Cricetulus griseus: one gene and its partners. The protein of the gene in region 4 purifies or fractionates together with the protein of the main gene of each other region. This does not show direct contact. Links are inferred from orthologs where the notes say so. Each region holds a gene or a part of one and is shown on either strand. Other genes may lie near its edges.

Evidence for each region.
Region 1: the proteins of Igf1r (region 4) and Rack1 purify together in Homo sapiens (affinity purification with western blotting; 4 studies listed by BioGRID, with this or other methods). This does not show direct contact. The link is inferred for Cricetulus griseus from reciprocal best matches to the Homo sapiens genes IGF1R and RACK1.
Region 2: the proteins of Igf1r (region 4) and beta-arrestin-2 purify together in Homo sapiens (affinity purification with western blotting; 4 studies listed by BioGRID). This does not show direct contact. The link is inferred for Cricetulus griseus from reciprocal best matches to the Homo sapiens genes IGF1R and ARRB2.
Region 3: the proteins of Igf1r (region 4) and Arrb1 purify together in Homo sapiens (affinity purification with western blotting; 3 studies listed by BioGRID and IntAct, with this or other methods). This does not show direct contact. The link is inferred for Cricetulus griseus from reciprocal best matches to the Homo sapiens genes IGF1R and ARRB1.
Region 5: the proteins of Igf1r (region 4) and Pcna purify together in Homo sapiens (affinity purification with western blotting; 3 studies listed by BioGRID, with this or other methods). This does not show direct contact. The link is inferred for Cricetulus griseus from reciprocal best matches to the Homo sapiens genes IGF1R and PCNA.

What each region holds. Positions count from the first base shown.
Region 1 is NC_048600.1:63,455,916-63,462,222, forward strand, and holds the start of Rack1 (receptor of activated protein C kinase 1), read left to right. Parts: upstream 1-2,636; 5' UTR 2,637-2,758; coding exon 2,759-2,867; intron 2,868-3,142; exon of another isoform or gene 3,143-3,210; intron 3,211-3,867; coding exon 3,868-4,039; intron 4,040-4,288; exon of another isoform or gene 4,289-4,368; intron 4,369-4,523; coding exon 4,524-4,671; intron 4,672-5,104; exon of another isoform or gene 5,105-5,172; intron 5,173-5,350; coding exon 5,351-5,446; intron 5,447-5,762; coding exon 5,763-5,873; intron 5,874-6,307. UniProt on the Homo sapiens protein: Scaffolding protein involved in the recruitment, assembly and/or regulation of a variety of signaling molecules. Interacts with a wide variety of proteins and plays a role in many cellular processes.
Region 2 is NC_048600.1:84,228,944-84,235,219, forward strand, and holds the start of beta-arrestin-2, read left to right. Parts: upstream 1-2,814; 5' UTR 2,815-2,921; coding exon 2,922-2,944; intron 2,945-5,870; coding exon 5,871-5,901; intron 5,902-6,276. UniProt on the Homo sapiens protein: Functions in regulating agonist-mediated G-protein coupled receptor (GPCR) signaling by mediating both receptor desensitization and resensitization processes.
Region 3 is NC_048596.1:99,979,533-99,985,832, reverse strand, and holds the start of Arrb1 (beta-arrestin-1), read left to right. Parts: upstream 1-2,840; 5' UTR 2,841-3,062; coding exon 3,063-3,118; intron 3,119-5,764; coding exon 5,765-5,795; intron 5,796-6,300. UniProt on the Homo sapiens protein: Functions in regulating agonist-mediated G-protein coupled receptor (GPCR) signaling by mediating both receptor desensitization and resensitization processes.
Region 4 is NC_048596.1:129,027,176-129,032,922, reverse strand, and holds part of Igf1r (insulin-like growth factor 1 receptor), read left to right. Parts: intron 1-1,668; coding exon 1,669-1,795; intron 1,796-3,106; coding exon 3,107-3,345; intron 3,346-5,747. UniProt on the Homo sapiens protein: Receptor tyrosine kinase which mediates actions of insulin-like growth factor 1 (IGF1). Binds IGF1 with high affinity and IGF2 and insulin (INS) with a lower affinity. The activated IGF1R is involved in cell growth and survival control.
Region 5 is NC_048599.1:46,329,882-46,336,294, forward strand, and holds Pcna (proliferating cell nuclear antigen), read left to right. Parts: upstream 1-2,914; 5' UTR 2,915-2,924; coding exon 2,925-3,145; intron 3,146-3,871; coding exon 3,872-3,969; intron 3,970-4,117; coding exon 4,118-4,185; intron 4,186-4,457; coding exon 4,458-4,652; intron 4,653-6,017; coding exon 6,018-6,141; intron 6,142-6,228; coding exon 6,229-6,308; 3' UTR 6,309-6,402; downstream 6,403-6,413. UniProt on the Homo sapiens protein: Auxiliary protein of DNA polymerase delta and epsilon, is involved in the control of eukaryotic DNA replication by increasing the polymerase's processibility during elongation of the leading strand.

The DNA of each region.
Region 1 (6,307 bases), on a different chromosome or scaffold from region 4:
CACACCTTTAATCCCAGCACTGGGGAGGCAGAGGCAGGCAGATTTCAGTGAGTTCGAGGCCAGCCTGTTGTACAAAATGAGTTCCAGGATAGCCAGGACTGTTACGCAGAGAAACCTGATCTTTATTTTTTAAATATCCCCCCCCCGCTTTTTTTTTAAGATTTTATTTATTTATTATGTATACAACTTTCTGCTTCCATGTATATCTGCACACAAGAAGAGGGTACCAGATCTCATTAAAGATAGTTGTAAGCTACTATGTGATTGCTGTGAATTGAACTCAGGACCTCTGGAAGAGCAGACAGTGCTCTTAACCCTTGAGCCATCTCTCCAGCCCCCTAAGAAACCCTGTCTTGAAAAGGAAAGAAAAAAGAAAGAAAGGAAGGGAGAGGGAGAGAGAGAGAGAGAGAGAGAGAGAGAGAGGGAGGGAGGGAGGGAGGGAGGGAGGGAGGAGAGGGAGGAAGGAAGGAAGGAAGGAAGGAAGGAAGGAGTATGAGATGTAGCTCACTGGCAGCATGCTTGTCTAGCAAGACAGTCTAGATTCAATCCCCAAGACCAGAGGAAAAAGAGAATGACTTTTTTTTCCAAAGGGAAATAAATGTCAGTTCATCGAAAGGAAGCTAGAATGTGGGTGTAGTGATTCACCTTTCTATTTACGAAAAGCAGTACAGAGACACAGAAAGGTGCTAGCATGACCCACCTAAAGGGCAGCAAACTGATTATGGGGTGAGTAAGGACAGGTGACTTCCAGGACCACCACAGAAACAAAACAATAGAAAATGAAAGTCATTCAGTTGGGTTTACCAAGGACACAGGTGATATATAACCTTAGGGTCCTAAAAAGACACTCATCAGGCTGTAAAGGAACACATCTAGGACAGCACCCTGTGTAGTCCAGAGAGTCGGGAAGGAGCGGGGGGGGGGGGGGGGGGGGGGGGGGGGGGGGGGGGGGGGGGGGGGGCGGGGGCCTGCAAGAGGCCCAGAAAGCAAGTGGCCTTAAGTGAGAAGCCCTAGTCTTTGCACAGCTGGGCAACCACAGGGTGCAGCAGCCTTGCCACTATACTCGCCTAACATGTTCCTTTCCAAATGCCTTCAATGTACCTTGCTCAGCGCTTACCCTAATCTAGCAGGTTCTGTGCCAACTCTCACTGTTCAGCCCTCATATACCAGTCAAGAACCTTTGCAATAGAACATGATCACAGGAGATTGCTTTCGCATCTGCCTATGTCTTTACTCCAAACTTCACTTTTTTTATTTTTGGTTTTTGGAGACAGGGTTTCTCTGTGTAACATTCTTAGCTGCCCAGGAAATCACTCTGTAGGATAGGCTGGCCTCAAACTCATTGAGATCCGCCTGCCTCTGCCTCCCGAGTGCTGGGATTAAAGACATGCGCCACCACCACCCAGCTCCCTACTTCACTCTTAACCACATTGCCTTACTCTACCACAAGATGTAAATTATTGCAAACAAAATGGCCATCTGGCTTTTTCTTTCTTTCTTCTGTTCATAGCTGTATCCTAAAGCCTAAAACAGCAGTTCAGCAACAGAACTAAAATAAATAAATGTGACCTTTAGTTCATAGATGTTAGTGGTTGCTACCATCCTAACTGGTGGTCCTTTTTAAAAATATTTAAACTGGAGAGATGGCTAAGAGGTTGAAAGCACTGGCTGTTGTTCTTCAAGAGGTCCAGAGTTCAATTCCCAGCAACCACAAGGTGGCTCACTACCATCCATAACGAGATTTGCTCTCTTCTGGCGTGCAGGAACATATGCAGGCAGAACACTATATGGATAAATAAATTTAAAAATTAAAAAAAAAATAGGCGGGCTGGGCGTTGGTGGCGCACGCCTTTAATCCCAGCACTAGGGAGGCAGAGGCAGGCGGATCTCTTGGAATTCGAGACCAGCCTGGTCTACAGAGTGAGTTCCAGGATAGGCTCCAAAGCCACAGAGAAACCCTGTCTCGAAACCCAATTCCCCCCCAAAAAAACCAAACAAACGAAAAAAAAAAGTTGTAAAATTTAAGGAGAGATCTGTGACATCGGAGGGCCACTGCAAACTTAAGTGTTGAGATTAAGGTCATCAGGTTACCAAATTATCAGTGTTCCTCCGCTTCCCTGTCCAGCCACTTCTTTCAGGGCTACACAAGACAAACTAGCAGGCTTTTCTGTGGAATGGTCAGAGTCACAGAAAGGGATTCCAATAAAAATCCCTTAAAACAAAAGGGCCAGATTGGACGGCACACGCCTTTAATTGCAACTTCAAATATACTTCCTTAGGTCATAGCTTAAATCGGAGTCGCCAACCCAGGAACCGGAACACCAAGCGAAAAGGGCGGGGCGCCGTCTCTGCCACGTAGCCGGGGAGGGAGGAGCCGCTGCAGTATGGCGATGAGCCGGTCGTCTTACTTTTCCTTCCTGAACACGTACTAATCTGCCGAGGAGCCTTTATTAAAACCCAGTAAAGCTTACTTAAGAACGCATTTGTTCAGCAGTCGCCAAATTATGTTCCGTGGCAGAAGAAACGGCGACATTGCGACTTACCGCGCCCAGCCCCTCCCACTACCTGGTGACGCCATCTTTGAGCAGCAGGGAATCATGGGAACCCCCGCCTTGCTCTCCGGGTATTTCCGGTTCCGCCGGAGGCCGCTCTTTCTTTTTCTCCGCGGCGTCGCTGTGGCTGCCGCTGTGGTGCTTGGCTCTCTGAGCTATCCGGTGCCATCCTTGTCGCTGCGGCGACACTCGTATCAGCTGCAGCCATGACGGAGCAGATGACCCTTCGTGGGACCCTCAAAGGCCATAACGGCTGGGTAACACAGATCGCCACCACCCCGCAGTTCCCAGACATGATTCTGTCTGCGTCTCGAGGTACGGGCTGCATGCCGGGCGAAATAGCGCGTTTCCCGGGGACTGCGCGTCTCCTGGCTTCGCAGGTGGCGCGTGGGTTGGCTGGCTTGGTCCATTCCCCCACCCAGTTATGAGTTGGGGCGTGCAGACCCGAACCTGGGCCCCAACTAGGGCGACCCTTTGCACATGGACGGAAACCGAGAGGTGTCGCATAACTCCCATAAGATTAGGTGACTAAATCTCTTCGTCTGTCTTCTCGAGATATATTTAAGTAGTTAGGGAGCTACAAGCCAGGCGGAGCAATGATGACCCCAACATGCCATCTGAGCTACTTTGCTGAAATCCAGAGGCTGTTTCTGAGCTGCCGTCTGGCCCTGAGCTCTGAGCAGTGCGTAAACTAAGGCTTTTTATTTTTCCTCATGACTTATCTTTATCATGATTTGCCCACCCAGGTCTCCCTATCTGCCCAAATTTATGTTCATTCTCGTGTGAAGCTTATCAGGCACTTTATTCGTTTCTGTATGGTTTGACATGGTGCATGGCTAGGACTGTCTTATTCTACCATAGCTACTGCATTTCTAGTCAACCCTTAAAGGCACAAAAGGTGGTCTGCTTATCCCACACCCAAGTGACTTTGCTACTTTTGAGTTAGCCTTGTGCTGGAGTGATGATAGATAAAACTGGCTCCTCAAGGGGACTAGGTAAGGTTTGTTTCCCAGAACCCACATGGTGACTTGCAATTGTAGGTAGTTACAGGGAATCTGACACCCTCTTCTAAAAACAACATGGGCACACATGGAGGGGAAACATTCAACACAAATTAATCTTGGGTTGGATTTGAGTTTCAATCCCAGCAAGTGTGGTACCCCATAGTCTCGGGTGTGCCTTACATCTTTTCAGTTCCTCTCACTGAATGTAGTGATGCTCCCCTTGTTATTACACCAGTAACCGTAAAGCACTGTAAATTATGCCCAGTATATAGGTGTGGGTGCCTATGTAATTTCTTCCCCAACCTTTTCAGACAAGACCATCATCATGTGGAAGCTAACCAGGGACGAGACCAACTATGGCATACCACAGCGTGCGCTTCGAGGTCACTCCCATTTTGTCAGTGATGTCGTTATCTCCTCTGATGGCCAGTTTGCCCTCTCAGGCTCCTGGGATGGAACACTGCGCCTCTGGGATCTCACAACGCAAGTAGCTGCTTTGGGACCTTGGGGGAGAGCTGGGCAAAATTGAGGTAGATTCCCGAGGGTGTGGTCTCCCTCGGAAATTGGTTTTTTTATGGAGGGTGGGGTAAGATGTTGGTGTTGACCTCTTTGAGGAGGGAGCTAGAGGGCTGTCGTGTAGTTGGAGCGTTTTTACCGGGTACCGCCAGCTGTTAAAATAAGTGTTTCATCTTGAAAGCTGTCCTAGATGAGCATTTGGCAGGTGTAATAGAGGATCCTAGTGATGACAAGAAGACATTGTCAACCAATCCCCACAAGGGAATGAGGACATGTCCTGCAATTCTGAATGGGTTCTCTGGCACATACCAAGAATGGGCTAATAATAGAACAAAGCCACATATAAGCTGTGTGGAGTGATAGAGCCTACTGGAGCAGCAATGTAGCCAAGAAAAGGGTCTGACTAAAAGGATAAGATTTGTCTAGAAAGTGACCAGGTTCTCCCATTTAGGGGCACCACCACGAGACGATTTGTAGGCCATACTAAGGATGTACTGAGTGTAGCCTTCTCCTCCGACAACCGGCAGATTGTGTCTGGATCTCGAGACAAGACCATAAAGTTATGGAATACTCTCGGTGTCTGCAAATACACTGTCCAGGTAAAGTGATGGAGGTAAAGGCTACAAGTTAGAGGTTATCTCCCAGCCCTTGGGGATTTTGTTGCAGTTTTGAGATGGTTCATTACTATGTAACCCTGCTTAGACTAGAACTTTGGTCTGCTTATTGCATGCTGGGATCAAAGCTGTGTGCCACCATCTAGCTCTTTTGTAATGTGTGGCATTTGTCTGGGATTTGGTTGGTTTTTACTATATATTTAATGCATTCTTGCTCATGAGTGGCTTGGGACTTGGGAGTTGATTTTTCTTCTGAGTTGGGGCATGGAACCCTAGGCCAAGGCATCTATTGGGCAGGCCCTTACACATGAGCAAATACCCAGATGTGTCCCATAACTTCCCTAAGGGTTAGGGGGTTTTAAAATCTCTACCTACCTCCTGGAAGTATGTTTAAGTACTTGGGGGCTACAAGCCAGGCAGAGCAGTGATGACTCCAACATGCCATCTGAGGTGCAGTGCTGAAATCCAGAGGCTGTTTCTGAGCTGTGCCTGGCACTGTGCTCCATGAGGAGGCATCCTAGGACTCAAATATGAATCAGCAGGCTTGACAAATGACTTTACCAACTGTTCTGTTGATCCAGAAGTATAGGTTTGCCAGAGAGTGCTGTTGCCCCACTTAGGGTAGTTATCTGTAGTCCTCTTACTTACCTTGCATCTTCTGTAGGATGAGAGTCATTCAGAATGGGTGTCTTGTGTCCGCTTCTCCCCGAACAGTAGCAACCCTATCATCGTCTCCTGTGGATGGGACAAGCTGGTCAAGGTGAGCTTCAACAATGGCCTGGCCCCATTAGAAATCTAAAAATGTTCCCATTCCTCTGAGATGGTAATCACTCCGGTTTGGAATGTTTTGCAAATTAAATTACCTTGGCTTTGGCTCTTGATGCTTTATCTAAGTTCATTAGGGATTGAGTTTGTTTTTGAGGCCAGATCTCACTCTGTATCTCTGATAGGCCTGTGTCAGCCACTCAAATATTGGGATTACATGCGCTTGCATAAAAACCTGTTATGAGTTACCTTTAAGGAAGATGCTATTCTTTCTTGTGGCCATAATCCTGGTCACTCACCTTTTTCCCTAGGTATGGAACTTGGCTAACTGCAAGCTGAAGACCAACCACATTGGCCACACTGGCTATCTGAACACAGTGACAGTCTCTCCAGATGGATCCCTCTGTGCTTCTGGAGGCAAGGTATTTAGGGGACCTCTGATCTTTATTTATGGAGAACACTTTCATCTGATAGCATGTACCAGTTAAAAGATGAGCTTAAAATGTGGGAATGTTTCTAAGGATTATCATAAAATATATAGAAAGGCATACCAAAGAAATTTTCCTTTAAAACTAAGTTGGTAGCTGAATAGATGGCTCTGGGATTAAGAGCACTGACTGTTCTCCCAGAGGTCCTGAGTTCAATTCCTAACAACTACATGGTGGCTCAAGACCATCTAATAAGATCTAGTGTCCTCTTCTGGATTAGGGCTACACACAGGCAAAACACACTGTATACATAAATAAAAGTAAGTTGATATACGTATTATACATTACAGGGAAGGTCTTAGGACCATGAACGCTGACACTTCAACCATTAGCTTTATCTATCCTAACTCACCATTTATGTCCGTCCA
Region 2 (6,276 bases), on a different chromosome or scaffold from region 4:
GGGAATTGAACCTGGGTCCTCCGGAAGAATAAGCAGTGCTCTTAATCACTGAGTCATCTCTCCAGCCCCATTACCTTTCTCTTTACTCTTACCAATAGCTCTTTATAATTTTGTTGATGTTGGTTATTGTTACATTTTGTTGGTGTGTGTATGTGTTTGTATGTGTGTGTGTGTGTGTGATATGTGTGTTTCAGACAATGCTTCAAGTAGCCCAAGCTAGTCAATCTCAAACTTGATATGTGGCTGAGTATGTCCTTAAATTTTTGATTCCCAATACACTACCACAGTCAGTTTTGCACAATGCCAGGGATCCAATACAGGGTTTTTATGTGTGCTAGGCAAGCACTCCATCAATTAAGCTATGTCCTTTGCCCTCAAATACCACTGTGTTACCTTTGATCATGACCCATTTGACAAAGTTCAAACTTGAAAAAAAAAAAAGCCATTCGTGAGTCAAAAAAAAAAATATTGCTAAAACCTTAGGAATAAACTTAGGCTGAATTTGGTGTTTCACACCCTTAGTCTTAGCACTCAAGAGGCAGAGGAAAGCGGATCCCTGTGGGTTCAAGGCCACCCATGTCTACACAGCAAGTTCTAGGCCAGCCAGGCCTAAGTAGTGAGACCTGTCTCAAAGAGTCAAATTGGGGCTAGGAAGATGACTCCATGGTTAAGAGCACTTGTTATACAGAGGATCTGAGTTCAATCCCTAGCACCCACATGGAAGTTTTTTTGTTCATTTTGATTTTTGGAGACAGGGTTTCTCTGTGTAGCTTTGGAACCTGTCCTGGAACTAGTTCTTGTAGACTAGGCTGGTCTCAAATTCACAGAGATCCGCCTGCCTCTGCCTCCCCAGTGCTGGGATTAAAGGCGTGCACCACCAATGCCTGGCCCACATGGAGGTTTATAACTGTAACTCCAGGTCCAGGAACTCTGATGCCTTCATCGGACTATGTACACAAACAGTGGTGAACATACATACATGCAGGCCAAATCTCATACACAAAAAATAAATTTTAATAATAAAAAAAGAGTAAACTGAAGAGATGACAATAGAACTGGGCAGGGCAGGTAACAGGTGTTGAGCAAGGCCTCTGTTTGAAAATTAAAGGGGATTTGAGATTTTCGTCTCATGGACAATCAGTGGACAAGTAAAGAGAAAAGCACAAAGGTATTCCATCTGAGGAAAATGGGGAAGAGTACAAAAAGACAAAGAGGAGAAAAACCTGTCTAGAAATATCAGCCATCCTTCATCCTCCCCCAAACCCAGTCAATGTCACCCCAGAAATGAACCTCTAATATGGCCCCTCTTTTCTCTTCCATGCCATCGTTTACCGATTTCTCATGGCCAGCTTATTTCTATCAGTCTTCCTCCCTCCCCACCATACTCCACGTTACCCAAAACCAGAAATTTCATTACTACATTCTTTTTTTAAGATTTTTTATCTATTTATTATGTATACAATATTCTGCTTCCATGTACAGCTGCACACTAGAAGAGGGCACCAGATCTTATAAGGATGATTGTGAGCCACCATACGGTTGCTGGGAATTGAACTCAGGACCTCTGGCGGAGCAGTCGGTGTTCTTAACCTCTGAGCCATCTCTCCAGCCCCTCATTACTACATTCTTCTGGTGAAAAACAAAATCAAAATCAAATATCTCCTGGGCTGGGGGTAGGGATATAGCTCAGTGGTGACACTTGCCAAGCATGTTTGAGGCCCTAGCAGAAAATTTAAATTAAATTAACAGGACCGGTTCCTCAGGCTCTTTCTTTCACTTGCTACACAAAATCTCCACAATCCCTTCTAGTCCTCCGCAGTTCTCCTTCTCCTGCCATCTAACCCACAAGCACTTGAGAACAGGATGTACTTACTACTTTGCCTTACGCAGTCTTTAGGACGTCCTTTCCCCACTTCTGCCCATCCTTCAGAGCGGCTGTCCTCAAATTTCCTATCCTCTGGAGTGACTGACTGCACTCTGTTCCTCCCCCCACGCTGGCCAAGCGCTTTTAGTTGCCTGATGTTCTGAGTCATACCTCTATTACAGCATTCCTGGGAGCATAATACCTGTCTTCCATGTCTCAAGGATCCCAGGAAAGTTAGGCCATTGTAATTCATGTGCTGTCCCAATGGCTTGCACAGTGACTAACACAAAATAGAGAGGGAGGGAAGGATGGAGAAAGAGAGAGATGGATGGACTGGGTGGATGATAGCTGGCGTAGATAGTAGAGGAGATGGCAAAGTCGGAGAAAAATTTAGAAGTGATCCTGCTAAAATCAAAGACAATAACACCAGGGGGAGCTGAAAGACCACAAGAACGCGGGAAGGCGGGCCAAACAAGGTTGCAAACTCAGGGATGAGCAGCGCACATCATCATGCAACTGATAGGGTTCACCCACGTGCGCAGTACCAGGTCGTCAGACCCAGACAGTGTTTGATCTCATTCCCACCGCCCCCACTATCCCGTCCCTCCACCGCCACTGTGAAAGCAAACAAAGGGGAGGGATCCCTGCAGGGCTATGGATACCGAAGGCCAATCAGATGGCTCTAATTGCCTGGAAGGCAGCCGCCTCCATTTAAAGAGGCCCAATCTGGTTCCAAGGGGTTGAGGAGGGGAGGCGAGATGGGCGGGGAGAGCGGGAGAGGGACCGCGCGGAGAGGCGTCCCCCAGGGAGACCGAGGACGGAGGCGTGGGGCGGAGCCAGTCCGGGGAGGGCGGGCAGCGCCGCAGCGCGCGGGATCCGGCTGACGCAGCTGGCCCCGGCTCACCGAGACCCAGACCCGAGGGGAGGGGAAGGAGGAGAAAGAGAGAGGACGCGCGTGCGCAGTGGCGCGGGGAGGAGCGGGGGGACCTGGCAGCGGGCAAGAAGGCTGCGAGCGAGCCGCGAACCCGGCGGGCGGAGGGCGGCGAGCGCGCGCACCATGGGGGAAAAACCCGGGACTAGGTAAGGGAGGTGGGGACGTGCTGCGGGGCATGGGCGGCGGCTCGCGGAGGGTGACAGCATGATCCCCAGACAAGGACACCGGGCAAGAAACCCGGGGGCCGGATGCCCGGGTCCCTAGAGGGTAGCGGTCTGGGGCCGCAAGCCTAGGTCCTTGCTTGAAGATATCGGGGTTGGGAAGCGTGCTTGGGCTCTTGCAGAAAGCAAGAGCTGATAGTGATCGGGAAACCCACGCCTGGGTTCTCGCAGAGATGTAGGAGTCGGACTACTGGGTTCTCTGTGCAGGCTGAGATGCAGGGGCGGAGGAAGGAGGAGCAGGTGGCCGGCCCCGAGGGGTTGTGTGCAAGGAGACTGGATGCTGGGAAGGGATTCCCCTAGACTGGTGCCCAACCAATGGAAAGCCTCCTGTCCAATACCCCATAGTCTGGTTGCTCTCACCTGTCCCAAGGGCCGGATAGCTCTGCTATCAAACTTCGGTCTTCTCCTAGGTTGCTAGGAGCAACAGCTTCTTGAGGGAGTAGAGTGCATAGGAACCCTCGCTGAAATTGGACTGTATTCCTGTCCCTGGGAGGGGGAGAGGTGGTATCTGCTCTGGGCACACACATCCTCTCCCCGGATGTTTTCTGGGCAATCGAGGCTCCTTCCTTCCACAGATACCAGAGTTCTCTTTTTTGGTCTATAGCAAAATCCACTTCCTGTTGTGACCAAACACCCCCAAGAGGACATGGGGTGAATGTTTGAGTTCCAAGGGAGCAAGAGCAAAAGAATGATTTGGGGCTCTCTGCCTTAAGCCAGAGAGAGGACTAAGAATAAGGGCCTGATCCTGAACAGTCACTCTGCAAAACCCAGGATCAACCCTACCACTCCCACTGCCCTTGGGGTATGAGAATTTAGGCTTCTAAGCGTCAAGAGGACTGATATCTGAGAGAGATGATCAGAGGAACTATTGGCCTCCTGGATTTGGGGTTAAAACACCCCAGAGAAAGGGGAAGTCACTTACTTGGGGGAGGCCCCCTAATTTCCATTGCGTGTTCAGGAGAGGGAATAGATGGACCAAGGAGAGACTGCTGACTTGGCATAATTCCTTACAGTCTCATCAAATTCTGGGCCATAGGAAATGGAGAGAATGGCAGGAAGTACAAAAGGGCATCTGCCTTAGCTACCTCGCACAGCTGGGCACCTCCCTGGTAATTCCCTTACTCTGCCAATTTGGCCAGCCTCAGTATGGGCATACGATTTCCCTCCCTAACCTGGCAGGAGATGGCTGGATAAGATGTAGAGGGCGGGTGCCCTGTAGTTACTCAGGGCAACTAACCAAGAGGCACACTGTAGCTGTCACAGCCTTTTGTCAGGGCTTCTTTTGGGGAAAACATAGGACATCGGGAAGCCAGAAGTAGAAGAGAGACCAAGCCTAGGTGATATACTAGCTGTCAGCCCTCATTGGGACAGAAATTAGAATGATAATTCTAACTGCTACCATGTCCGTATTTGCCTTTGTTGCTTGGGGGTACTCAGGGGTACTCTATGAGTTTGTCATGTGACCCTATGTGTCACATGAGTTGAAAGAGGGATGGAACACTGGGCAGTGTTTCAGTTCGTTCTCTAGGAACCCTTTCCAGGAGTTGCTGCTGAAGCAAAGTGCATTAGAAGAGGTAGCAATGGCCAGAGCCCTGGGGTCTCTAGACAGTTCCCTATGCTCCCAGCAATGGGTTGGGGATCACTAGACAGTTCTCTGTGCTCCCAGCACGGGTGGAGTCTAGGCTTAGATTATTTCAGTGCCTGTATAGAAAACCCTCTTCAACTGGACAAACTGTCAGTGATGGGCCAGTTTAACAATTTAATGGTTGACAGCAGGGACTTAAAGTCAGAGTTGTCTTCCTTAAGTTTATGCCTGAGTTCCACCATGTGCATTCTCTCTGACCTTTGACAAAATTCTTGACCTCTCTATGCTTTGGTTTCTTCTATCTAAAACAGGAATTATTTCGACTTATGTCTTTGGGCTATTAGAGTAGTCACAATGCAATTGGAACACTGCTAGGACCAGAACAGTCACCCAATAAATGTTAGCCAGTATCCTCTTTGTCACATGGATGCTACTGTGTTGGGACACCTCAATGTACAAGATCCCAGGGGTCACAGCTGTCAGCCTTTGTGAAATCACAAGTAAAATATAAACAAGATGGGAAAGGAACAGGGAGGAGGGAGTGTTATTGTGCTGGCGGTTAAAGTCGAGGCCGAGTCTTCAATCTGACGGAGATGATGTCTGAGTTAGGCCTTGACCGACAAATGCATTTTTTTTAAGATTCTGAGGTCAGAGATGGGGATGTTGGAGGTTCATGAAATAAGCAGATGTGGGCAGTGCCTTCAGTAGAAACTGAGGGGTAAAGTCAAGGCACTGCTCCAGGTGTCCTCGAAGCTAGAGGTCATTTGAAAAGTGGCTAGTTTAACTGAGGGTGGTGGTTCACGCCTTTCATCTCACCATCAGGGATGCAGAGGCAGGTGGATCTCAGAGTTGGGGCCAACCTGGTCTACATATCAAGTTCCAGGCCAGCCAGGGTTACATAGTTAAATCCCGGTCTCAAAAGAAAAGTGTGTTAGGTCTGACCCAGACATTGGATAGCCATCTAGTTCCCATCTTCTTCTGGGGACGGTGCCCTCGGGAGAGTCTAGATGGTTCCTGGAGCAACCAGTGGCCATTACTGTAGAGGTGGATCAAATCAAAGGAGCAAGTGTTTGCCCTGACAGTTGGCTTCAAGGGGCTGCCATGTGGAAAATACTGGGACTTTGTTAAAAAAAAAAAAAAGTGGGAAGGGTAGACCAGGGATCCAGGGTGAATTCCACTTCTTGGGCTAGGGAGGGATAAGTCCTGGTGTGGTGGTCCCTGCTGAGTCTAAGGGAGGCAGTGGGGTCTCCCTTTCTGTTTTGTTAGGGTCTTCAAGAAGTCGAGCCCTAACTGCAAGGTGAGTCACCCACAGTGCTTATGCTTCGATCCTTCCTGGGCCCTATCAAAGCCCAACCTACCCCCAGCTGATCCCCAACCCTTAGCTCCCCACTTCCTGTGACAGCTAAAAGCAGACTTCCTTCCCTCCTTAAGCCCCTTGCCACAGTCTGAAGAAGCCACAGGGCTGGGTGGGGACCAGGCTAGGTTCCTAAGCAAGCTTGTAATTCTCTTAGGAACCAACCCAGGGTACTTGGGACTAGGAAAAGTTAATAGTTCCCCAGGCTGTGGCCTGTTTATTGCAGAGCCCTTTGTGGGGAGAGCTGCTAACTGCCTGGTCTGACTGAGTGCTCCCTGAAGACATGGGAACACACACATATACACACATACACCTCTG
Region 3 (6,300 bases), about 29 Mb from region 4:
GATAATTTGACATGCCTTTAATCCCAGCACTTGGGAGGCAGAGTTAGGTGAATTTCTGAGTTCAAGGCCAGCCTAGTTTATAAAGTGAGTTCCATGGCAGCTCAGATTACATGGAGAAACTCTGTCGTGAAAAACAAAACAAATCAAAATTATTGCCAAATTCAAGGACATGAAGATTTGCACACTTAATAGTTTCTTTAATTGTTTCATGGCAGTTGCTTTTACATTTGGGTCTTTGGTCCATTTTGAGCCAATTTTGTATATGGTGTGAAGTAGGGGCCTCACCTCATTCCTCTGCATGTAGACTTATAGCCCCTCTGTTATTTGCTGAAAAGACTATTTTAGCAGGTGTGGTGGCTCCCACCCATAAGGCTGAGGCATGAGAAGCTGGAGTTTGAGACCAGCCTAAGATACATAGAAAGGAAGGAAGACAGACAGACCGACAGACAGAAAGACCGTTCTTTCTCTTCATCACCTTGTCTTAGCTCTCTTGTAAAAAAATCATAAAAATGCCACAATTTGAATATAGATAAATACAGATTGCCACAAATATGTAGGTTTATTTCTATACTATTAATTATCTTTTATTGATCTCTATGTTGTCAGTACCACACAGCCTTGATTACTCTATCATTAAAATAATTTATTGTTTTTATTAATGTGTTTGTCTGTGTACATGTGTGCAGATGCTTGAAGAGGCCAGAGGAGTCATACCCCTGGAGCTGGAGTTACAGGTGGCTGTAAGCTGCACGGTGTGGATACTGGCATTAAACTCAGGTCTTCTAGAAGAGCTGTGTGTGCTCTTAAACACTGAGCCATCTCTCCAGCCCCCTTAATCACTGTATCTTTGTAGTAAGTTTTGAAGTTGAGAAGTCCAAGCCTTCCAAATTTGTCCTATTCTTTTCAGGATTGTTTTGGCAGTTCTTCTCCCTTGCATTCCCCTGTGAATTTCAGGATCGGTTTATCATAGGCATTCTCCTTGTTGGGTTCCAGCTGGTCTGCTGCTGTAACACATGCCTCAGGATTCCAAATTTTTTGTTTGTTTTTTCGAGACAGGATTTCTCAGGATAGCTTTGGAGCCTGTCCTGGAACTCTCTCTGTAGACCAGGCTGGCCTCCAACTCAGAGATCCACCTGCCTCTGCCTCCGAGTGCTGGGATTAAAGGTATGAGCCATCATCACCCAGCTCAGGATTTCAAATTTTACAATCATGTATCTGACAGGACTCAAGCCTCTCTGTTTGTACTACCATGTAGCAGAATATCCAGAACATTGCTGAATTTAGCAGCCACAGAAAGACAGTGTGGTAGGCAAAGCAATGCTTTGTCCCAAGATGTCGGGGTCCTACTCCTTGGGGCCTCTGAATGTTGTGCTATGTGGCAATGGGTAATGATGGTTGCAGATGGGCTTCAGGCTGCTAATCCGATGACCTTAAAACAGAGAGATCATTCTGGATTACCCAGATGGTCCCTGTGTCATCTCAATGGTTTTCAAAAGGAAAGGGAGGGCAGATCTGAGTGATGCCGTATATAATGAGAAGGCCACCTTCTCTCATTGACTTTGAAGATGGAGGAAGGAGGAGGCTTCCAGAAGCCAGAGAGAGTAGGAAGCAGATTTGCCCTAGAACCCCCCAGAAGTAATCAAGGGCTGCTGACACCTTGATTTTAGCTCAAGGAAGCCCACTTGAATTTCTGAAGCACAGAACTCTAGTTAAGTTTGTGTTGTTTGAAGCCACTGAATTCGTGGGACTTTGTAAATAGCAGCCACAGAAAATGAGCTTGAAGGGTTTGGGGACCCATGGATGGTTCCTTCTGTGCCTCTGGCTGAAAGTGGCATGTGACATTTGCACCCGCATTTCATTGGTCAGAATAAGCCACAGGGGGGCGTCCAACTCCACAGGAAGGAAGATGCCTGGCATCCCATACATCCAGCCTCAGGGAATCCTGGTGCCTGTAGGGAGTATCTAGTACATCTTTGTTGCCTGTAGCACTTGTTTCTATAGTCTAGTCCATCCCATTTCATTAAAAATCAAAAAATAAAGCCAGGTGTAGTGGCACTTATGAGGCTGAGGCAGGAGGATCTCTGAGTTTGAGGCTAGCTTGGTCTACATAGTGTGTTTCAGGATAGCTAGAGCTACATTTGTGAGACCCTGTCTTGAAAACAAACAACCAACCTCAAAATATAATCAGGCATAGGAGCGCATGTCTTTAATCCCAGCACCTGAGAGGCAGAGGCAGGAGAATCACTGTGAGTCTGAAGCCAGCTTGTTTGTATTTGAGTTCCAGGACCCTGCCTCAAAAAAAAGGATCTCTGTGTATGTACGTACTGTATGTGTATGTGTGCGTAGAGGCTAGAGGTCAACTATGGATGTCTTCCACTATCATTCTTCACCTAATTTTTTGAAACAGGGCCCATCACTAAACATGGAGCTTTCTGTGAACCCAGAGCTCTTTATGTAGGCCAGACTGTGTGGCCACAGAAGCCCCCGGGATCTGCCTATCTTTGCCTTCCCAGTGCTGAGGTTACAGGTGCAGCCTGCCACATATAGCTTTTACATGGGTACTGGGCATCTGAACTCAAGTCCTCATGCTTGTGAAGCAGGCGATTTATCCACTGAGCCAGCTCTCCGACCTGTAATGTTTTAAGTAGGTTTCCTAATCAACCAGTGACTTGCAACCTCTGGTTTGGACAATACTAATCTCCAGAGCCTCTTCTGCTCATGCTTCATGGACCACAGGCTATGTCCTGGACACAGGTGATTGGGCCAGGGGGTGGGGTACCTAATCAAAGCTGACCAATCAGATTCCTCTCCTGGGAATTTGGAATTGGGCCATTCAGTCAGTTAGCAGCGGGAAGCTGAGTGAGAGGCAGGGTAGAAACAGGGTTGGAGTGTGAGTCACATGCGAGCCCAAAGGATGGAGGAGCAGAAAAATCCCTGAGTAAGCGGGGCGCGCTGGTCCACAGAGACAATGGAGCAGCCGCACAGACAGCCTCGCAGCCAGGAGGCCCTGCAGCAGCCCCAGAAGGAGCGGTGGAGACAGGGAGCTACGGCTTGAGGCTCCGATGGCGTCCCCATTCTCAGCTCCGGCCCCAGCGCATCCTGCCTGCTCATCCTTCCCGTGAGATTTTGGCCTCCTTATTAGGACCTCCTCTTCTTTCTCGAGCTATCCTGAACCTTAACCAGGAAGGACACTGCTGGTCTTTCTCTTTGGGGAACCCAGCTGTGACTAAGGCTCAGGTTGTGGGGCACAGGCAAGGCTGGGGGTGAACAGACGCAGCTGCTCAGCAAGGCTGGCTGGGATTGTGGGCTTAGGTTAGGCCACGGGCAGAGAGGTCTATGCGGTGTTGCACACGTGGGGTTGTGGAAACGGAAAATACCCCATAGAGCCTCTTTTCTGACAGTGTTGGGGCAAGAAGTGAGTGGAGTTTTGAGTGGTGGTGCTTGGCTATGTGATGGAGTGGTTGAGTCTCGTGGGTGCCTCTTCGAGCCTCAATGTCTCCATCTTTGAAATGGGATTGTCCAGGAAGAGCCTTGTCCTGGGAAAAGTACTTAAAGGCATGAGTGGGGAATAATAAACAGACAGAGAATGAGGCAGCTGCTCTTGTTGTTTGAGGAAGCCACAAGAGTCCTGGCTTCCTGAAGGAGGTGGCCTCGGGTGCTGACTAAGGTAGTGGCAGGACATTCCCCACTGATGGCTGTGCTTCCTGCCCCTCTTCAGCCCCACTCTGCCCCTCACCCCAGTCACCTTTCATTTATCCCTCTCTCCCTCCCCTCTTGTCTGTTCTTCCTGCCGTTTTGAAACATGGATTTAGGAAACAGTGGGTTGGATTAAGGCACCAATCTCTGGAGGCCCAGTCAGAAGTGAGTCTGGGTCCCGACCTAGCCCCTTGCTTGCTGTGCTCCTGGGCAAGTTAATGCATCGCTTGGAGCCTCCAGTTAATTATCTGTGGAGTGGGAGTTAGACTATCCTTTCTACTATGAGAAATAATGAGCTGCTCGGCAGAGCTTTAATTCCCCTCCCCTTTGCCTCTCTCCGCTGCTTGGTGAATATTGCTCCTCCTGGCCCCACGTGTGCCTCGTCCTTCCCGGCAGCCACTAGAGTGGCTTTCTCTCTCAGTTGTTTATCCTGCCTGGGTGTGAGATCTTTCCTTTTCCTTAGAGCACAGGCTACCAAGGGCTGGAGGTAATTGTGACTTGGAAGCCACAGGGTTTTCACTTCTCTGGTTTCCTGGAGAAACATGGAGCTCCTAGCTTCTAGCTTGGAGTTGCTGGTTCAGATGGAGTGGTCTGCATTTTTTTCCCCTTACTTTAACAATTATCACACCCTGGCCAGTTGTGGCTTCTTCACACTCCCAACACTGATAAATATTAATGAGAAGACAAGGCTCCCAGGGCCCCTAGGGGAATGTTTGGGGAGAGGCTGGGCCACGCTCTCCTTTGCAAGCAATACTCAGACCTGTCAATATTCCCTAGGTCCCAGAAGGGAGGGTGAGGCAGGGCCATGGCTGTGGAGACCCCACACAGTCACAGGCCTGGATGCCTGCAGATCAGCTTCTGGGAAGGATTGGGGCACACCCTGCTGAGGCTGCCTAGGGGTTTCACCTTTCTGGGTCTGTCCCATCTCTCCCTGCTTCAGGCTTTCTGATTCTTTCCCTGGTTTTCTTCTCCTCCTGTCTCTTGTTCATCTTTTATTTTCATACCTCTACCTCTGTCTCTCTCTTCTCTCTTCACACCTCCCCTCCTTTCAATACCTTTCCTCATCCCCATCTCTCTAGCTTTCACTTTTCTTCTGCCTCTCCCCAGTAATGGCTGAGAAATTGTGGGCTGGATAAAGGTACTTAGGCGAGGGAGACTCGGGTTCCCAGACACAGCTCTAGAAGGGGAAAGGTTGCCATGAAAGGCAAGTGGCACTCTTCAGGATTTAGGGACTACATTACCATCTAATCTCAGGCCCAGTGCTCTGCTATTCGAGCATAGGCATCTGCCCCCACATTCCTGTGCCTCTGTCCCTCAGTGAAGCAATGAAATTCATTCATTTATCTGTTCAACTAGTTTATATTGTACTCTTGCCACCCTCAATCATTTAACAAGTATTTCTTGAACAATAGTGACGTGTGCCTTTGTGTGTGTTTGGGATGTACCCGTGGACAGGAGAGACAGTGGGCATATTTGGAGCGGGCATGCCAGCAGAGCAGACAGGTGGGGCAAGAAGTAAAGTATATGGTCAGGGGGTTGCTGGGAAGAAAGGAAGAGTGAATCAAGAGAAGGACTGGCTGACAGGGGTAGTGGGATTGGGAAAGTGGGCATTTGGGAAGAGTGTCCAGGGTAAGAGAGTAGGGTAGGGGAAACTGGGAGCAAAGGCCTTGTGCAGCAATCACCTGGTGGATAAGGAACGAGGAACAGAGGGGCTGGAGAGCAGTGAGGCTGGAGACTAAGGGAGGGTGGCAGGAGGTGACATAGGGAGGGAAAGAGGCCAGGTCAGATCACTGGGACTTAGCAGGCACTGAAGGATTTTCCTTTACTCGAGCTGGGTGGGCTTGTGAGTCTCCCTCAGCCCACTCTGAAGGATTGAAGGAGGGCTGCAGGCAGCTAACATTCATCCTAGGAGGAGAGGTGGAAGGAAGGAAGCTGTCCTGCTCTGAGGCTTTGCTGGTCCCTGTAGGACACTCAAGGCCTTTATCTATGGCCCTGTCTAGGGTCGCCTGCAAGAGATTGGCTGGGCAGAATCCATTAACCCTGGCTTGGCCTCTCTTTCTTTTCACAGAGTGTTCAAGAAGGCAAGCCCCAATGGAAAGGTGAGTCTGTAGTGTGTGCTGACTCCTCACTGTTCCCACACTCTGGGTGCCTCTGTGGATTAGGAAAGGAAGCAGCATCTCCTGGGAGAGACAGGCACTGTTAGCTGTCTAGGGCTGACACAGCTCTGTCCTGAGGGCCATAGGAGCCCAATGGGATGTGTGGGATGTGGGGGGGAGAGCTCCCTGGAAACTTTCTGTGTGGGCTTCAGGGAGCCCCAGTTGGGGGAGAGATGGACTGGCTTCTCCCAAAGAGACATCAGTGTGAGTGTGAGAAACTGAGGCAAGCTGGCCACTGTGACACCATCAAGTCCCCTGGTGTGAGAGGTCATGGTGTCACCTCATCCATCCATCTTTCTTCTGGGACTCCCAGGGCCTGGGCTTCTTGTTTGCTTGCACAGGCTGTAGGCTGTATCCCATTTTACTCTGTTCAGCAAACAGGTAGTACTGACATCTATGCTAGGTCGGGGCTGGGACTGCTGGGGGTTGGGAGGGTACCAAGATAAGA
Region 4 (5,747 bases):
CCAGGGCTATCAACCAAACATATGACATGTCCAATTACAAATAAAACTAGGCACATCCCCTCATATTAAGGCTTGGTGACCGCCGGGCGTTGGTGGCGCACGCCTTTAATCCCAGCACTCGGGAGGCAGAGGCAGGTGGATCTCTGTGAGTTCGAGACCAGCCTGGTGTACAAGAGCTAGTTCCAGGACAGTCTCCAAAACCACAGAGAAACCCTGTCTCGAAAAACAAAAAAAAAAAAAAAAAAAAAAAAAAAAAAAAACAAAAAAAAAAAAAAAAAGGCTGGATGAGGCAACCTAGTAGGAGGAAATGGATCCTAACAGCTGGCAAGAGTCAGAGACAGCGCTACTCCTACTGTTAGGAGTCCCACAGGTACACCAAGCTATACAATTACAACATTTATGTGGAGAACCTGGGCTGTAAGACCCAGTATTTAAAAAAAAAAAAAAAATTCTAAAGCTTTATTGACCCTCTGTCTTTGACTTTGAAGCATTAGTTGGGGGGAAAAGAGTCATATGACCAAGGGTTAGTCAGATATGCACATACATACAGAGGAGGGGCTAGCCTTGTCTTTTGAGTGTCTAAACTTATCTGATACCCTCATGAACCAGGAGGCATTTAGGGAAGAGTTGTAGATGCTGGAAGTATGTACATAGCCAGAACCTTCACCTTCCTGCAGAGCCCCCTGCTTTCTTCCCCATTAAGACCATAGCAAAAGCCTGTGACCACAGCATTTCAAAGCACTTCTCCCTTAGAGGCAGCCAATCTGACCTGCAGGTCATGAATGCAGCAGCCATTTATTTTTCTTTGGAAGCACAGTCAGGGGTTTCTCTCTGAGTGACACGTGAGCAGAACCTGCAGTGCTCCCTGGGTTTCCGTTGAGCACATTTTGCCCGGAAGACTTCGCAGTGTTCTGTTCTCACTCAGTCTCTTGCCTTTAGCTCATTAGTGTGACAGAAAGACTCAGGATGTTTGGGGACTAAGGACAACTCGCTGGAGAGCTTTGGGTGTCCCGCCTCTGCAGTTGGAATATTGTGCTGCAATCAGGGCAGGCTCAGTGCCTCACCATACCTCACAGCAAGGGTGTATCTGCCACAGAGCACAGGGATTGCCCAAGTCAGGGCCCACCTAGTCTTATTCCAGCTAGAGCACTCTTGGGGTCTTATATCCTTCTGGTTTGGTGTCAAGTTCAGACTAAGAGAAGCCCCTTTTTGTGGCAGATCTTAAACCTACCTGCCTTTGGTGGCTTCATAGAAGCCGTCAGATGTCCACACCTGCAGAGCACCTGCTGTCCTCTCAGGCCAGCTACAGGTTTGCTGTCATTTAACCAGATCCCCATTAGCAGCCAGCTTACTATGGATGAGCTGAAAGTTAAGGCCACCTTCTTCACTAAAGAGGCTGTTCTCACAGGTTGAAAAGCAATTACAGGCTCATGCCTCATTCTCTGGGTGGGTGGCCAGTGCAGTGAACTGAACTGAAGCAAAAGATGAGCCCATAGGAGCTCCCTGGTGAAACACTTAGACCCTTGATGGAAAGTAAGAATGCTTCCTACAAAAATCCAGACAGAGCTTAGCACAGACAGCTGCTAGCTTCAGAAAAGAGAAAAGTAGTGCACAAGCTTCATAGTGATGTGTGGATCTCTCACTCATGGATGTGCCTTTATGCCCCAGGTGAAAGCGACGTTCTCCGTTTCACCTCCACCACCACCTCAAAGAACCGGATCATCATAACATGGCACCGGTACCGGCCCCCAGATTACAGGGATCTCATCAGCTTCACGGTTTACTACAAGGAGGCGTGAGTTTCTGTGTTTGTGCCTGCTGTCCTGGTGTGGAGCTTCAGGGTGGAGATGACAAGGCCTTTGGTTATTATATGAGTTGGCTGAAGAGGGAATCAGTGGGTTTCCTTTGAAGAGTCAGACCTGGTGACCACTCCATCTTCATGTAGCCTCTCTAGTTGTCACATGACACTGTCCCAACCTGTAACAGCTAGTCAGGCCTTTCTTTGTTTAGATGGTTTGAATGTTTGATCAAGTTCAACCCAAAGGAAAAGGGGATGAATTTTAAGAGACTTGGATCCATCCAAACTGTCATAAGCTATCATGTGGACTTGGTTAAAATAAATGCTTTAGACTCTGTCTCTGAATACACTGGTCCGATATCTTCCATTCACTCTGTGTAAGCATAGCTTTGCCCGGACTCTGCTCTGGGTCATGAGCCTTGTAGAATTAAAGAATGGAAAGGGACCAACCTCAGTATCAACAGTTTCCAGGATCTTCCAAGACTTTCCCAGTACTGATAGCATCATCCTGCCTATGCAGTCATGACTTGCTCCATGTTGCAGCTCTTGGAGGCATTTCATCACCCTACTTGGCCTCCTGTGTCCAGGTAGTTCCCTAGTCTATATGGTCATTCATTTTCCCAAGGCTCATCTCCCCAGAAGCAACAAGCAAAAGTGCTGGTACAAGGGTCCTGGGTTATAGCCCATGAATGGGGGCATTGATACAATTTGAACAGTGAGTCATCTCAATGTTCCATCTGTGCAGAACCCTTTCTTGTCTTTGAAAGTGCTGCCAATACATTGGCATTGTTAACTGGTGATTTCTCTAATGCCACTTTCTGTGAGACCATCGGGAAGTAAAATATTTAAGTATTATCAGCTTATATTTTAGAAACTTTTTTGGTAAGAAAGTTAGTTTTGTTCAAAAGTAATCCTTTATCAATATCCAGTGTTTGCATGAAACAGCTATGATTTAAAAAAAAAAAAAAAAAAAAAAAAAAAAAAAAAAAAAAAAAAACCTGCTCCAGTTCAGAAGAAAGAAAGAAAATCAGTATCTGTCTGTCTCAGGAGCAGCTTTTTCAGTCCCTGCGAATATAGAACTTGCTGTCTCTCTCTGAGGCTGCTTGTTCAGTTCTGTGGTTCATAGCTGGTGAGCTCCCGAGTCCAGATGCTGGATTTTATTCTTGTATAGAAATCTAATTGATGATGAGTTTTATTTGGAATTCCCATTATAGACAGTGTGACACACTCAGCCACTGGGGAAGGTTCTTGAGAGCTGTGTTGCCAGAGCCCTTCAACATTCTCTGGCCTTCATTGATTGTCTTTCAGACCCTTTAAAAATGTTACGGAATATGATGGGCAGGATGCCTGTGGCTCCAACAGCTGGAACATGGTGGATGTGGACCTACCTCCCAACAAGGAGGGGGAGCCTGGCATTTTACTGCATGGGCTGAAGCCCTGGACCCAGTATGCCGTCTATGTCAAGGCTGTGACCCTCACCATGGTGGAAAACGACCATATCCGTGGGGCCAAAAGTGAAATCTTGTACATTCGCACCAATGCTTCAGGTATCCATGCACCAGATGAGCCCCCTGTTCCCTGACTTGTTATAAGCTTGCTGTAGTTAAGTGTGGCTGTAGGGATAGCAATGAGATGCCTGTTGTTGCTGCTTAACACTGTGTTGTATTATTCTCACTGCTAACACCTCAAATTCTGCTGAGCCATTTTCTGGACTTCATACTTTCTTAAGCCTCTCTCTCTCTCTCTCTCTCTCTCTCTCTCTCCTCTCTCTCTCCTCTCTCTCTCTCTCTCTCCCTGCCCTATGCTAATGAGCCTGTATCCTCCAGAGTTGTAAGATGGTTTCGTTCTGAATGCCCAGGGTGTAGCCACCTACAGCTGTTCTCATCTGTTTTAATGCAGACTCCTAGGACCTAAAATGATGCTGATCTGTGCACTAGATCTGTGCTGCTCTACTGGCTTACTGGTTTTCCATCTTTATTCTTTGGCCAGCATTTTCAGCAGGCAAATAAAGGCTAAAAACCTAATGGGCTTAGAGCATTGTGCCATCCAAGCATGGACTGTTGACTGATTCCTCCTCATCTTCTCTTCATGTGCTGAAGTACTAATTCCCCAACTCCAAAACCTAGAAATGGTGAAAGCAAACATTTGCATGAATTTGTATGCAAAGACAAGAGATATATATATATATATATACTTCATTGTAAAGGTAATGACTGTCTTAATACATTTGGGCTATTACAACAAAAATTCTATCTTACAAAGCAGAGAAACATACTCCTCACCATTCCAGAGGTTGGGAAGCCCAAGATCAAAGGGTTGACATTTTGTGTCTGGTGTGAGCCGCCTTCTTGGCTCATGGAGATCTGTTTGATGTGTCCTCACATGCCCGAAAGAGTACACATAGCAGTCTCTGACCTTCTTTTGTTAGTGTTAGTTCTGTTGATTAAAACTCCACCCTCATGACCTAATCATTTTGCAAAGCCCCAACAGTTGAAGGCTAGGGTTTCCACATAGTGACTTGTGGGGTGAGGCACACACACACAGTCCACAACACCAGTAAACATTCTCTGAGAACAGATTATGCTACAGTGAGTAGAGTGTGTTAAAATAGTGCAGACTAGCACAAAGTTAAGTATAAAATGGCAGAGTGTGAAAATGTTAAAAATAACGCAGAGCTCATACACCCCTACTTTTCCAACCCTTACCCCATAAGCAGTCACCATCATTTGCTGACCCTGAAGTCTTCATAAAAATGGATTTTCTACAGGCTTCTAGTCCTGGGAATGAGTTGATTTAGTGGAATTTCAAGTGCAACAGAATACATTCATTTTCATCTTAGAATTTGGGAGTAACAATTCCCAGAGAATCTTTGCAGCCTATTTAAGAAAGAAAGTGGAATTTCTTTTTGTAGCAGATTGTTAAGAAATCTGGTTGTTCTTCCTAAATATTAAAAACTGCATTTTGGCCCCTGTCCTCACAAGTACTAGGGACTGTTATGACATACTTGGTCCATCCTTTGCCCCTGCTTCATCTGTGCAACCTGTCATTGAAATATCTGGTAATAAACTTTGAGAAATTCTTTTGGAAACCCTGAAGGACCAGACATCAATGACTATAGTTTCTTTACAAAAGTTAGTATTAGTCCTGATCTCCCGGCATGCCACTCCTCAGCTGTTCTCAGAGTCTTCAGCATCTCATACATCCCAAAGTCCTTATTAGCTAGTTAGTCCTTTCTGTGGTATGTGACCAAAAACAACCTGACAAGGAAAGAATTTGGCTTACCTATCTGGATCATGATCTATCATTAAAAGGCCAGGGCAGGGGCTGGAGAGATGACTCGGTGGTTAAGAGCACTGACTGTTCTTCCAGAGGACCTCAGTTTGATTCCCAGTACCCACATGGCAGCTAACAACTGTCTGTAACACCAAGATCTGGCACCCTCACCCAGACATACATGCAGGCAAAATGCCAGTGTATATAAAAAAAGAATAAATAAATTATTAGAAAATAAAAGGCCAGGGCAGGAACCTGAGCAGAGGCAGGAACTATGGAAACGTGCTGCTAACTTAGAACAATTTTCTTTCTAATAAAAAAAAGGTGGGGGAAGTGCTGCTAACTTACTGGTTTACTCCCCATGGCTTGCTCAGCCTGCTTGCTTACAGAACCCAGCCTAGGGATGGCACCACCCACAATAACCTGGGTCCTCCCCCATCAACCACTAATTAAGAAAATGCCTTACAGGCTTGCCTGTAGCTCTGTCTTATTGATGCATTTTCTCAATTTAGTTTCCCTTCTCTCAGATGACTATAGGTTGTGTCAACTTGACATAAAACTAACCAGCACAGCCTGTTTTTGCCTTTCAGATTTTAAAAAACAGCTTTAGTTGGACCTCATGGTTAAGAGACATACCATGGTCCTATTTCTTGCACTTTGAAAAATGCCAAAGTCT
Region 5 (6,413 bases), on a different chromosome or scaffold from region 4:
AAGAAAATATTACATAAGCCCCTAGCACTGAGACAGGGCAATAGAAAATGCACATTTATTGTAAGCAAAGCAGTATCCTGGGTGGGAAAGAACACATTCTACGGTTTGCAAAGGAAAGGAGATTTTAAGAAAATCTGGTCGGTGGTGGTGCACGACTTTATTCCTAGCACACGGTAGGCAGAGGCAGATAGATCTCTGTGAATTCAAGGCTAGCCTGGACTACAGAGTGAGTTCCAGGACAGTCAAGGCTGTTATGAAGAGAAACCTTGTCTCAAAAAAACAAAAAGAGAAAAACCCAAGAAAAGAAAATCTTCACAAATATATGTAGCTATATTATAGGTTTTCATTTTTGTTTGTGATGCTGAAGATCTAACCCAAAGTCCTAAACACACACACACACACACACACACACACAGAGAGAGAGAGAGAGAGAGAGAGAGAGAGAGAGAATCACTAACCTATAAGCCCCACCCTATGTTATGTTTTGATATGTGAAGGAATAATTCAGGCTGCCAAGACTGCTTAGCAGGTCTGGCAATCCGAGTTCTAACGTGGAATCCACATGGTGGAGGAACAGAGCTGCCTCTTGCAAGTTTTCCTCTGACCTCCATACACGAGACGTGACTTACATGCACCACATATAAATAGATGTTAATAAAACAATTCATTATACATAAAGCAAAAAAGTGACAGTAGCAAAACTTAAAAATGAGCCAGGCAGTGGTAATGCACCCCTTTAACTCCAGCATTTAAGAGGCAGAGGCAGAGGCAGAGACAGACGGATCTCAGTAAGTTCGAGGCCAGACTGATCTACAGTTCCAGGACAGTCAGGACTGTTACACAGAGAAACCCTGTCTCAACCCCCCCCCAAACAAACAAACAAAAACCCCACAAAACCCCAAACAAACAATCAAACCTTACAAATAAATGACAGGGACTTACTTGGAAGAAAGTCCAGAGACAACAGAGCAGCATTCTCTTAAAATTATTTTTATTTTATGGAGTTGCCTGCAAGTATACCACAAGCATGCCTGGTGTTTTGAAGAGGGTGTGAGGTTCCCTAGAAGTGTAGTTACAGAGGTTTATAAACTGCCATGTTGGTGCTGGGAACTGAACTCTAATTCTTCGAAAGAGCAGCCGGTGCTCTTAACCACTGAGCCATCCCTCCAGCCTTAGACTGGTATCTGAGTTGTTTCATCAATGCCCTTTAACAAAGCAGAGTATAATACATTAAAAAGAGAGTAGCAGCAACTAAGTGAGAAACTCTGGATGTAAGAATGTAAGCAAACAGTGCAAACACCTTCATTCTCTCTTGTGACACTGTGAATCATGCTGGGGCCTGCACAGGTCAGGCCAGCACTCTCCTGTAAAGGCCAGCACTACAACCTTTCATGGGTTCTGGCTAGGGAACCTGAGGATTAACTAAGAAAAGACACAATAGGTCATTTTTGCAAGGAGAATGCCAGTTTATTTCAGAGGGGAGGAGACTTATATGCCAACAGCAGCCACAGTGGAAATTTACTCAAATCAAAGTCCATGCTCTCAAGCCCCCTGGCAGAGGGCAGAAAATTTACACTCTGGCATACAAACCTAGGCAGAAGGAGGAAATGGACAGCGAGCCCCAGGGGCCCCTTAGGTCACCCAGCCGGGTCCCAATGTTAGGAAGGCAGTGGTGGCATACACCTTTAGTCCCAGCACTCTGGAGGCAGAGGCAGGTGAATCTCTGTGAGTTTGAGACCAGCCTGGTCTATAAGAGCTAGTTCCAGGACAGCCTCCAAAGCCACAGAGAAACACTGTCTCGAAAAAAGCAAAACAAAACAAACAAACAAACAAACAAAAAGAGGCATTTGAAATAGAAACTGTGGACTTTCACATTAATATTTTACACTTTCGGCATCAAACATATTTTATCCATCACCAAAACAAAACAAAGAGAAGAAACATTAGAAATTAAAAAAAAAAATAGCTTTACATCCGTTTGTAGCTGGTGTCCACCACCTGCATTCAGTTTCCCCCACCCTTATAATCAACAGGAAAAAGAAATTTCAGTAGAACAAAACGCAGCAGGAACACATGCACCTGTAATGGCTGACATTTTCAGGAATGGGTATTGATTTTAACATGAAGTTATTGGTGCTTAGCCTCTAGGCCCTGGGTTCATCTCCAGCCTAGATGGGGTTCAGGCTAGGGAAAGAGGCGTAACAGGGAACTAATTAGGTGGGACCTATGGATTATGTATCTTAAGAGATAGTCATACTTTGGGGTTCTTTGCAGAAGTGTTCACGGCAAGAAGGAACTCTTTAATCTTTAGGGAGGAAAGTTCAGAGCGCCCAACACAGTGAAGTGATAGAAAACCGGGGTTAAGATGTGGTGGCTCCTTCCTTACTCGGTATTTTGCAGCGTTTTCGCCTACGCAGTAGCAAAAGCGCTCTGTAGTGTTTGAAACAGGTATACTTTTCGACTTCAGGCAGCCCTGCACCCCACCCCTCCCAACCCCCGACCCGCGCCTCCCGGCGCAGCTCGGCTTGCACGTGACTTTCATTTCCGTGGCGCGGAAACTTGCCGGGACAAGCCTCCTCCAAAAGGTGGGCCTCCGCGGATCCCATAATGCCCCACGCTTCCCACGCCCGTACGCCGCAGCCCCGCCTCTGTGTACGCGGCAGGGCGGGCCTTGCGCGGGACTCGGATACGATTGGTTCTGAGGGGAAGGTGGGTGGGGCAGCGCGGTGACGTCGCAACTCTCGCGCACGGAAAGAGCGCGCGCCTAGGAAGCGGCAGCATAAAAACGGTTGCGGGCGCCCAAGTTGGTAGTCGCTCCCTGCGGGTCCTCGCTGCCACTTCTGCATCGCGAGCCGGGAGACCTTCGCGGCCGGCCCTCTCTCCTGTCACAGTCTCTAGTATCTAGTCGTCGCGACTCCGCCAGGATGTTCGAGGCTCGCCTGGTTCAGGGCTCCATCCTGAAGAAGGTGTTGGAGGCTCTCAAAGACCTCATCAACGAGGCCTGCTGGGACATCAGCTCGGGCGGCGTGAACCTGCAGAGCATGGACTCGTCGCACGTCTCCTTGGTGCAGCTCACTCTGCGCTCCGAAGGCTTCGACACATACCGCTGCGACCGCAACCTAGCCATGGGCGTGAACCTCACCAGGTGAGCGGGTGGCGGGAGCTGGGCTCTAGCCCTCCCGCCTCGGGTCTTGGCGGGGCTCCGGCTCCGTGCTCTCATTGGCTGACGTGGTCATCCGCGCCTTCTGATTGGTGTCTGGAGCTGGGGGCGGAGCCCGAGGAAGCGCGCGGTTCTGAAAAGCCCGCGCTGGTGGCCGCGCGAACCCGCTGTTTCCGCGCCAAAGCCACAAAACGGGTGCCGGCGGGAAAATGCCTGCGTTGGAGATCAGTTCATTAAACGCCAGCAGCTTTTTTTATTTCAGGGCACAACCTTGTCCTGGCTAATTTTAGCTGCCTACTAAACGTGTTCTGGTGAAAATGTGGTACTGTCCACTTAGAGGGACAATAGGCCTTTTCTACTTGGAGTCTAGAATCTCATTGCGAATCATTTGTGGGAAAATTTACCAGTCTTAGCTTTTAACTTTGTTACAGATGCATGAATTTGCCACCGGTATACGTTTTAAAAGATTTGTGAAAAGGCCACATATGATATAGGGCACACTCTGATACACTGGAAACCAAGGACATCCTGCTCAAAAAATTATTTACTGGCATATTGCCTTTGAGTGGTTTTAAGGATCACATTCCCGATAGTTTACTCCCCCCCCCAGGGGATTTGGTGTGGGCGTAAAAGGGTAACATCTTGTAATTGCCTTTAAAAGAGTAGATGTTGAACACATGGTGTTGATAAGCCCTGCTTCTTGTTTTCTAGCATGTCCAAAATACTAAAATGTGCTGGTAATGAAGACATCATTACACTAAGGGCTGAAGATAATGCCGATACTTTAGCACTCGTATTTGAAGCACCAAGTAAGTTACACCTCTAAAACTCAATTGTTACAGAAAGCAAAGTATGATCTGTTTCTCAAAACTAAGGATATTAACAGAATTGCGGTTGTAAAGTTTTACACCATAGGTATGAACATGTGCTTCAATAACATTTGCTTCCTTTTGTTAGATCAAGAGAAAGTTTCAGACTATGAAATGAAGTTAATGGACTTGGATGTTGAGCAACTTGGAATCCCTGTGAGTATCTTGTTCTCGTTTCTGGTGGTCTTTGAACTCATTCTGTAGACTCAAACTCAGCAGAGATCTGCCTGCCTCTGCCCCCTTAGTGCTGGGAGAATATCCTGTTTTCGCTGGTGAATTTTACCAAGCTGTGATACCAGCTGATGAGTTCCAAAGTGGGTATTTGGAATGAAAGACAATTTCACTAAGCAATGACAGTCTAAAATTGAGTTTTAAAGAAATCAGATACTTGTCCTCACACTTCTGACCTTTAACTTTGGGATTTACAGGAACAGGAGTACAGCTGTGTGGTAAAGATGCCTTCTGGTGAATTTGCGCGCATATGCCGAGACCTTAGCCATATTGGAGATGCTGTTGTAATATCCTGTGCAAAGGATGGGGTGAAGTTTTCTGCAAGTGGAGAGCTTGGAAATGGAAACATTAAGTTGTCACAAACAAGTAATGTTGATAAAGAGGAGGAAGCTGTAAGTAGTAAAAGTTGTCTGCAGTGTCTGAAAGGGGAATGAATATAAGCTTAACTGCTGAGCTGGTTCTCCAGACCTAGCTCTTTTGAGGTGGAGTGTGAGTAGACCAGGCTGTCTTTGAACTTAGATACTCCACACTCTGCATATATGCTTTCACAGGTGGGACTGGGAAGCTAGGTGTTTCCAAGCTTTTGCTTCCTAGAATGACTGACAAATAAGCATTAACAAGTGAACAGAAGAAAATGGTTGGGGTTGTGAGTCTGTTGGGATCATGTAGATCTTGTAGTAAGTAGCTTTGTGTTGGACTTTCACGTGCTACCCCATTTAATGGTGCAAAAGCAGACTAAGTAAAGTTGAGTGTTGATAAGTTTTAAAGTCCTCAAAAATGAGGAAGATGTTGGAAAGGCAAAGGAAAAATGCCTGGAAAGCCTCATTCAAGCAGAAGATACTAGGCTAATTGCTAAATATTCAGAAGTCAAAACTTTTTAATTATACTAAGTTTTTTAAAAAGTTTTGCCAGCTAGTCTGAGCATCAGACTATAAATTGCAGACACAGTCTGAACTAAATATGATTTTTAGTGCTAAATGTAAAATTCGGAGTGCTTAACACAAAGTGTTTAATGTTATTTTGTCTGCAACTTGTATAACTGAGGATTAGAACATATATACACAACCCATAGGGCTGGTTCTTAACCTTAATCTGTCTGCTTAATTATTCCTACTTACCTGTCATCCTCAGATCACAAGGTATTTAATTCATAAGTATTTTGTTTAAAGCATAAGCATTACCACAACAAAGGAAATTAAGTTTTCAGTATTCACATGTTTCTTATTTCCTTAGTTTGAATTGGGACTTGAAAAAAATTCCTGATAAAATGAAAATTGGTCAACATGTCCCTTAGCTTGCATTTAACTTGTTGCTTCTTGTTACTAGAGTTGGTTATGAGCTGCTGGATGTGGGTGCTGGGAACCAAACTTGGATGTTGTGGAAGAGCATCGAGTATTAACTGTTGGGTCATCTCGCCAGCCGTGGTTACTTTTGGGGGTGGGAGTTGAGTGTTGTACATTGAACCCAGGACTTATATTAGTCAAGTGCTCTACTGGTTAGCTATCATTCCATTTCTTTTTCCTCTATATAGATTCTTTGGAAGAGATTAGTGCTTGCAGTCTAGAAAAGAACAGCCACTTTCTTTGTGTTGCTTGGGGTATGCTTCTACAAGAGATAGGCTAAATGTGTTTTAGTCTTCAAACTTTTCATAAAATCCTCCAAAGTGATAACTAAAGGTTTTTGTTTTGTGCTGTATGTTATGTACTAATGTGTGAGTTTCTTGATGTTGTGTTAAGTGAGCCTGTTTTCTTCTCTAGGTAACCATAGAAATGAATGAGCCAGTTCAGCTAACTTTTGCACTAAGGTACCTGAACTTTTTCACAAAAGCTACTCCACTGTCTCCTACAGTAACACTCAGTATGTCTACAGATGTACCCCTTGGTAAGATACTAAGTTTTAACATTGTTTTGTAGTATAGTAATTACTCCTCAGTCATTAACTTTTCGATTAAATTTTCCCATCTTTTAGTTGTAGAGTATAAAATTTCTGACATGGGACACTTAAAGTATTATTTGGCTCCCAAGATTGAAGATGAAGAAGGATCTTAGGCGTTGCTAGAATCTGAGAAAACCAAGCCTTTGAGAACTGCTTCTGAGATGCCAGCATGTTTTGAAGTCTTTTCTGTCACCGAGTTTGTACCTGAGTACATATGT